Linked DNA regions of Macaca mulatta. The protein of the gene in region 1 interacts with the protein of each later gene in a pairwise test. Links are inferred from orthologs where the notes say so. Each region holds a gene or a part of one and is shown in the gene's direction. Other genes may lie near its edges.

Region 1 (3,209 bases):
CTCCCAGCAGCCCCTGTTGCCTTGATGGATCCTCATTCCCAGGAAGCCAGCTGTCATAAACTGTGTGCCCACTCCATGCCAGCCCCCGAGTGCTGGTGGATGGCTTTAGGCACTGCCCAGACACAGTGTGTGTGTCTCTGGGAGCATACGTGTGGACCAGTCTGCACCACTCGGCCTGGGCTATGGCCTGTGCTTTTCAGGGCAGTGGGCTGAAAGACTCTGAGCATTCAGGGTGACCCCTTCCTTGACTGATGCTGATGCTGGAAGGGCCCTTCATTTTGCTGGACTCCAGAAAGGTAATATCACCTTACTGGGACCACAAAATTTAAGGCAGAGTCAGGACCAGAGGTAGACTCCCTGCCCACAGGTAGAGCACACTTGAGACTGCAGAGGGCTTTCAGGAGGAGGTGGCATTTGAACTGAGTCATGAAAAATACGGAAACCTTCCCCCAAACACCTGACACTTTAGGAAATACCTGTTGAAAGAATGAAATTTAATCCTTTTATAAGATTAGTAAAGGTCAGTCGTTAGCTGGTATTCTGTCTAAGCTGGGAATTTTGAGAACCGAGTGTGTAAAGTCAGTTCACCCCTGTGGTGTGTACTACGAGGTAGGTGTGATTGAGTTTTATGGCCTTGGTTACCAGCTCCTTCCAGACTAGGATGGCTGAAAGCCCTCTCTCTCCCTAATGAAAGTCATTAGCCACACAGTGTGGAGCCAGTCCAATGGGGCTCGAGCTGCACCCGGGCATGTTGGGCACACAGGTCACTGGGTCCTTACTCCTGCTTCAGCCTGGCGGCAACAGCTTCTCTTCCACTTGTCTTAGATGTTGTAAAATTGTGCTTAAAAATCATTTTCCACTGATTCAAGGGAAAAAAGTTTGAAAGCCACTGGCCTTGATAATTCCAGGGTGCCTATTGAACCTTCAAGGTAGGTGTTGTACCCCATTGTAGCATTGAGAAAAAAAGGCTCAGAGAAGTTAAGCTTTTGGCCAGGGTCACAAAACTGGTGAGAGAGAGACTAGGATTCCAGTTACACAGCTGGTTGGTGACAGAGCCAGGTCAGGTCTGGGGTCTAGGTGCTTTCCACTGCCCCTCCCTCTCTCCCACAGAGGTAGAACACACATGGCCCTTTACTCACACCAGCACTGCTGCCTGCCTGACATCTGTGGGCACTGCCCAGGGAGAGCCAGGCATCTCCAGCCTCCACACAAAGAGAGGGGCTCTGGCCAAGTAGAGCACGCTCCGTCTGCTCACACAGAAGCCTGGAGCCTGGCGTCCAGGGCAGGGCTCTGATTGACAGGCCTGCCAGACGGCCTTTGTTAAGAGTGTGATCTCAGTCAGTTTATCTGGGCCCAAGCTGCCACCACAGGCCCCTGGCAGGAGCTGTGATCCAGGGAGATGCTTGGCTGAGCAGCTCGGAATTAAAGCACTAATAATCCCCCTTCTACCCTCTCACGTCTGGAGAGAGAATCAGGCATTGATTTGTGAGCTGTTTCAAACCCAAGAGCCCCTGAATCACTTTCATCCTTGTCCTGCTGCCCCCTGCCAAGGCTTGGAGGTGCTCTCCAGAACAGCTTCCTCCTTCCTGTTCCTGTCCCTGCCCATCTGCTGCTGCTTGGCTCCCTCTGCTCTCCTGTTCACAGGACAGCACCGGCCGTGGAGCTGGGCAGACCTAGGGTCCAATCCTGCCTTCTCCATCGTGTCCCAGCCATGTGACCCATGGCAGTTACCTGACCTCTGAGGACCTCACTCAGGTCTTGGTCTGTAAAGTGGGGGTGGGAGGACCTGTCTATTAGGGCTCCTGAGTAGAATACATAAGGTGATGCATGTAAAATACCTAGCACAGGGTCTGGCACATAGTAGGTACTTAAAAGTGGGCTTTCTTCCCTTCCTGGTGGTTGAATGAAGTTCAACCAGGTTAGCTGGGTTAATCTAAGGAGATTTTTGCAGACTCTTCCAAGCCTTTAATATGCTCATGTGTGACCCACTAATGTGGGGAACAGTATATGGGGTTTCTCAAAGTCACTTAACAAATAACACTTTTAGAGTACTAAAAAATACTTTGTAAGACACCAGGACTCCATGAAACTCAGCTCAGGAAGTGTTGCTCTGAAGCATCTAGATAGAGAAGTAAACAGCGGGAACTACATCCAAAACTCAGTATTATTTCTTACGACATTTGTGTGTTTCTCGGTTAAGCTCTGAGCTGTGTAGTCATCCCCCCTCCAGATCCTGTGATGGGTCCCTGTGCTGTGGTAAGGGATTGGATTCTATCCCTTGAAGAAGGAACAGAAGCAGCAAAATGTTGATCAGTGAGGCCACTTGTCTGAAGTCACCCAGCGTATCTTGCTTCAGAAACAGCTGCTCTACACCCACATTGCCAACCTCTTCTCCCAAAGGCCCCGCTGGCACTTGAGTTTAAGTGACCACATGTGCCAGACAGGGGGTCCTGTGGGCTTGGGATGCATTCAGACCCTTCCCCAGTGCAGAGCAGCGCTGGACAGCTGAGTGGGCTGTGGAGTCAGCCAACTTGAGATCCAGTTCTGCCCTTAACCACAAAGTAGCTCTGGGGCCCTGGGCCTGTAGTTTCATCTCACTGAACCTATTTTTTCATCTTTACAGCAGGAATAGTAATAGAACCCCCTCCTAGGATTGTGAGCACAGTCGCCCTGGCATATACAGAAGGGCTCTGTCACTGTGACCATTCAGCTGTTCCCATGCTTATCTTAGGTTGCCTGTATTCCTTCTTGCCTTCAATAATTTGGCAGGTGTTTGCTGAATGCCGCCTTCCGAGTGCCTGTGCCTGTGTGTTTGGGGCCATGCATCTCCCCATCAGGAGCCCCCCACTTCGGGGGTGAGAGCTATGTTTGGTCAGCCCATCTGGCTAACTCTCTCTCCACTCTGCTTCTCTGCTGTGCGTGCTGTGCAGGCATCAGAACCAGTGGGAGACTTCCAGCCAAGCTACTACCTGCCGCCGCCACCACTGCCGCCCCTTCCACCACTTCCACCACTTCCACCACAGCCCCAGTTCCTCCCGCCAGGCTACCTCTCTGCGCTCCACTTCCTCCCCCCGCCACCGCCACCACCGCCTCCGTCATCTTTCTCACTGACCGTCCTGTTTGATACTGACAAGGAGAACACTGGTGAGTGAGCTCCAGTCTTCCAGCTTCTGCCAGAGCCAGGGAGACTTTCTGGAGGAAGAGGTACC
Region 2 (4,285 bases), on another chromosome or scaffold:
CAGGCACACGCCACCACACTAAGCTAATTTATGTATTTTTAGTAGAAACGGGGTTTTGCCATGTTGGCCAGGCTGGTCTTGAACTCCTGACCTCAGGTGATCCACCCACCTCGGCCTCCTAAAGTGCGGAGATTACAGACGTGGGCCATGGTGTCCGGCCTCACATCATCTTAATATCTGCAGAGTATTCCCAGAATTTGTCTAGCCTATTGCCTGTTGTTGCTGCCGTTGGGTACCACTAACATGCAAGGCCAGTTTCTGGCCCTCACAGTGCTCCTGGCACAGCTGCAGCATCCTGCAGTTTCAGAGCCTGGGCAGTTCATTCAATAATCAGAGTAAGGAAGGGCCACGAAGTGCCAGTGTGGGGTCCCCACCTTCACCCAGGGGTGATGATGGCTCTCAGGGAGCTGTTCTGACTCCAGGTGCTGATAGCAGAGTTTCTCTGGCAACCTGTAGCACTGCCTTGAGAAATGATTATCTAAAGCATGTTTGCATGGGGGTGAGGGGTGCGGAGGGAATAGGAAAGTCACAGTGTCTCGGCAGTGGATTGAGCAGAGTGATGGTGATGCCAGTGGCCACGATTCTTTGGAGCCCTGAGTGGTAGCAGAGGCACCACGGCAGGGGGTCCATCCCAAAAACACCTGGGGCCCTTGGCTGGTGACAGATAACTCAGGGACTAGACCAGGATCTGTCTCACTTGCTTTCCTGGTAAGTTTTTCTCTCTCTATCAAACAGAGCAGGCTTTCCCTTCCATTCAGTCTCACACTGCTATGTCCAGAAAATCATCACACTCTTCCACTAGAGGGGTGGATATTACTTTCTCAGGTTTCAGTTCTGTTTGCCCACTCACTGTATATTCTTTTGGTCTTTCCAACGGTGATCCAAGGATTTATTTAACCCAGCGGTCAAATTGGTCATTTTAAATAATAGTACATCTTGTCCAAGTCCAAAAATAAAATGTCCTGGTATGAGAAGGCAAGCAGAGGAAATTGGATAGAGTAGGCTGAAAACATTTTACAGCACCATTACCCAGAGCCCAAATCCCTTTTTCATTTATCCCTTTTTTGTCCTGGCATGGCAGGAGTCAGAGCGCCTTCTGTTTGTGTTGATTAAAGTCTGCCTCCACCTTCCCCCGAGCCCAGTTGCCCTTCTCAGGACACAGGCTGCATTCACCATGGGTCTCTCTGCCCAAGCTCTTTGCAGATTTTATGAAAGGCGTTTTCACTTGGATTAAACAGGCACTGTGTTTGTGTGTGGTGTGTGTGAAGGAGAAAATGAATCACTTCAACTTTGGGCAAGGATTTTAGGTGTTGTGTTTGTCCCATGCAATTACATAAACACACCAGAACTCATTAAAAAAAAAAAAAAAAAAAAAACACACAGTAGAAGAGAGGGGCAGAGATTCAAGTGCTTGCGATGATCTAAACAGTGCGGCACATTTTCCATACATTAGACCTCAGAAAGGGTTGTGTTCTGCCCTCTCACAACAGACTCCAAGTCCAAAGGAAAGTTTGAGGTTTTACATTTCTGTTTGTGGTACAGGAAAAGGCTTATGATCTGAGGGCTTGATTCAGTGAAATAACATTGCTTTTATACACATTTGCTTCTCAAGGAGGGCAGGAGTTGGAAACGACCGTTGTGAAACGTTAAAGATTTTCTGGCAGAGGGAAAGGGATTTTTTTTTCTCCTTCCCTGCCGAGGAAAAAAACAGTTGTAACGAGGAGTTACTTTGTAGTTTTAACTCATATTCAAATACTCCCAGTCGAGAAGCTGCCATCGACCCTCCCATGGACCCCTGATCCTGGTTTGGAGGAACTTTTGACAACTCTCTCTCCCTCCTTCAAACCCTGTGTGATGAGTTTGCAGAAGAGAGTCTTCCCGAGAAGGCAGAACGGTGAGTGGAGCTGCTTCTCCTATCCCAGGGGACTCAGGGGAGGTTGGAATGCAGGGGTGGACCCTTCCTGACGACCTCCCAGGGGAGTGGAAGCATGGTTTTGGCCACACTGTGTAGTATATGAGTGAGTGTGTCAGTGGTGTGTGTGCTCACATGTAAGTGTGTGGGGGCACACATGTGTGCTGCAGTAGGACACAATGCCTGTCTTTGCAGAGGCTGGCTGAATGCTTACCATGTGCTTGGCAGAGAGTTCAGGAAGGGCAATTGCAGGACCCCCCAGGGATGAGAGTGAACCCTGGCCAGGGCAGTGGCTTTCCGTGTGCCCTGGCTTCCTCTTCATGGGGCAGAGGCATCAGTGTCTAAAACGCTGTAGCTGTCAGGGTCCCCACCAGCTCCGCTCCAGTTTCAGCAGAAGCGGAGCGGAAGAGGGAGCTGCTCAGCTCCGGGAGAAGTGAACGGAGCGCAGGTCTCTGGAGAAGATCTGAGAGCTGGGAGGGGCCTCCATCCAGACCCCCTACCTTCCTGCAGGTACAGCCCAATGGATGAGAGCATTTCTTATTACGATCTTCTTCCTTTGCTCTGGAAACATAAACAGGCATCAGAGCAAAACGTTTTAACCCTTCTGCCCAACTTTTAAAGTTAACACTGGCGAAACTTCAGGTCCGTTGCAACTTTGGCATAAGAGTTTTCCTTAAAAAGGAGAAGTAAGCAAGTCAAAGGCATATTCTGACTTTTCTAGCTCCAGAAAGACATGGCTGGAACCCTGGCATCCACTTGCTTAGGCTGCATTAAGGCATCTGCTGAAGTCTGAAGAAAGGCAGTGGGGTATAGGGAATAAGAACCTGGGCCATGGGGCGTGGCCACCTGGGATGGAATCTTGGCTCTGAAGGTAACAGGCTCCTTTACCTGGGAAAAGGTTTTCAAAGGCTCACTTTCCTCCTTTGCACAACGGTGGTCATAAATTCTTACCTCACAGGAAGGCAGAAACAATAACTAAGATAAAGTATGTGAAATGACCCAAATGGCATGTACATATTCAGAGGACATGTCAGCTCTCCTAAGCAGGCTGCTCCCCTGTTCTGAAACAGCAACCATCATAGATATACAGGCTTGAGGATGAAGAAAAGAGTACTTGAGGGCCCAAAGTAGCCCTGGCTCTTTGTGTAGCAGAAAGTGGGGTGAGCATTCAGGTGGTCTCCCTTTGGAGGCAGACGACATGGATGCATTTACTTCCACTGGGGATCTTTGAGGCTGGGACTTGACCTGGTATTTACTAGGTGCTCAGTGTTTGGTGAAACCATTTTATTCACTCTGATTCACGGGGAGGTCTTACCACTTCCTACCCTGGCTGCACCGCCTTTGGTTGCGTTTCCCTGGTAACAGATGGTGAGACAGAGATTTGCACATACGAAGTTCATTGGTGTGTGCTCTGGGAACAACACCAGTGTGGGGTGAGGGAGGCAGAATCAGACAGATGGAGAAGTTGGGCTGTGATGCAGTTGCAACACCGGCCTCAGCAGATCCAGGGGATCCTGTGGGGTTTTGTATCCCTGCAGTGACCAGTCATTGCTTGTGGGCTGCCCCTGGAACCCAGGCATAACCTTGGGCGAGGCAGCTGTCTTTGGCTGAAGGTAGTTTCTGGAGAGGGACTCAGTTGTGAGTTGTCACAGACAACCCTATGCCAGCTGTGGGAATGAACGCCTCGGTCCAGGGTTGAGGAGCTTATCTGGGCGATGCCCCATCATCTACTCAATACATTTGATGCAGTCCCTTCTTTTCTCTGAGTTAGGCTGTTAGAAGACTGGGCATTCACATGCAGGGACACCTGTCCAGTTAAATCCTTGCATAGCAGTGTGACTTTGGATAAGCCCCTTTCCATATCTGGGACTCAGTGTCCCCGTCTATAAAGTGGATGGAAGGGTGTTGGACTAGAGATGGCCCCTAACAACACTCCAGCTCTGCTATTTCACATATGCAGATTCTGAGCATGTGGCCATGGTGGTTGGATGTGTCCTTAATAATAGTTGGGTCCTGTGGTCTCCACCGTAGGTGCCTTGACTCCTGCTGGGAAATATGAATCGAGATACCTGGGGATCCTTGGGACTTGGCCAGCTGTCAGCAAGGAGGGGCTGGGCCTATGGGAAGCAGAGGGAGGCTCTGCGTAGGGCTGGAGGGTGGGGCATAGGGTTTGAGGAGGATTCTGCTGCACACCTTCCCCCACACTCCCACAACATTTCTCCCCCCTCAAAAAAAGTAAAACCACATGAGACACTGCCATATGTCTTTGATAGTTAAGAGCTATGTAATGTTGCCCGGGACAAACTTGGATGTAGTTTTATTACTCTCTGTCTCCTCCTAATTTCCTATTTACTTTTCAATATACAAAGAGTG

The links. The genes of interacting proteins can lie anywhere in the genome.
Region 2: the proteins of DMRTB1 (region 1) and IL16 interact in a two-hybrid assay, tested with the Homo sapiens proteins (2 studies listed by BioGRID). The two-hybrid records come from large-scale screens. The link is inferred for Macaca mulatta from reciprocal best matches to the Homo sapiens genes DMRTB1 and IL16.

The regions. Positions count from the first base shown.
Region 1 is NC_133406.1:187,151,275-187,154,483, reverse strand, and holds part of DMRTB1 (doublesex- and mab-3-related transcription factor B1), read left to right. Parts: intron 1-2,930; coding exon 2,931-3,144; intron 3,145-3,209.
Region 2 is NC_133412.1:59,422,886-59,427,170, forward strand, and holds the start of IL16 (pro-interleukin-16), read left to right. Parts: upstream 1-1,374; 5' UTR 1,375-1,854; coding exon 1,855-1,894; intron 1,895-2,295; exon of another isoform or gene 2,296-2,422; intron 2,423-4,285. UniProt on the Homo sapiens protein: Interleukin-16 stimulates a migratory response in CD4+ lymphocytes, monocytes, and eosinophils. Primes CD4+ T-cells for IL-2 and IL-15 responsiveness. Also induces T-lymphocyte expression of interleukin 2 receptor. Ligand for CD4.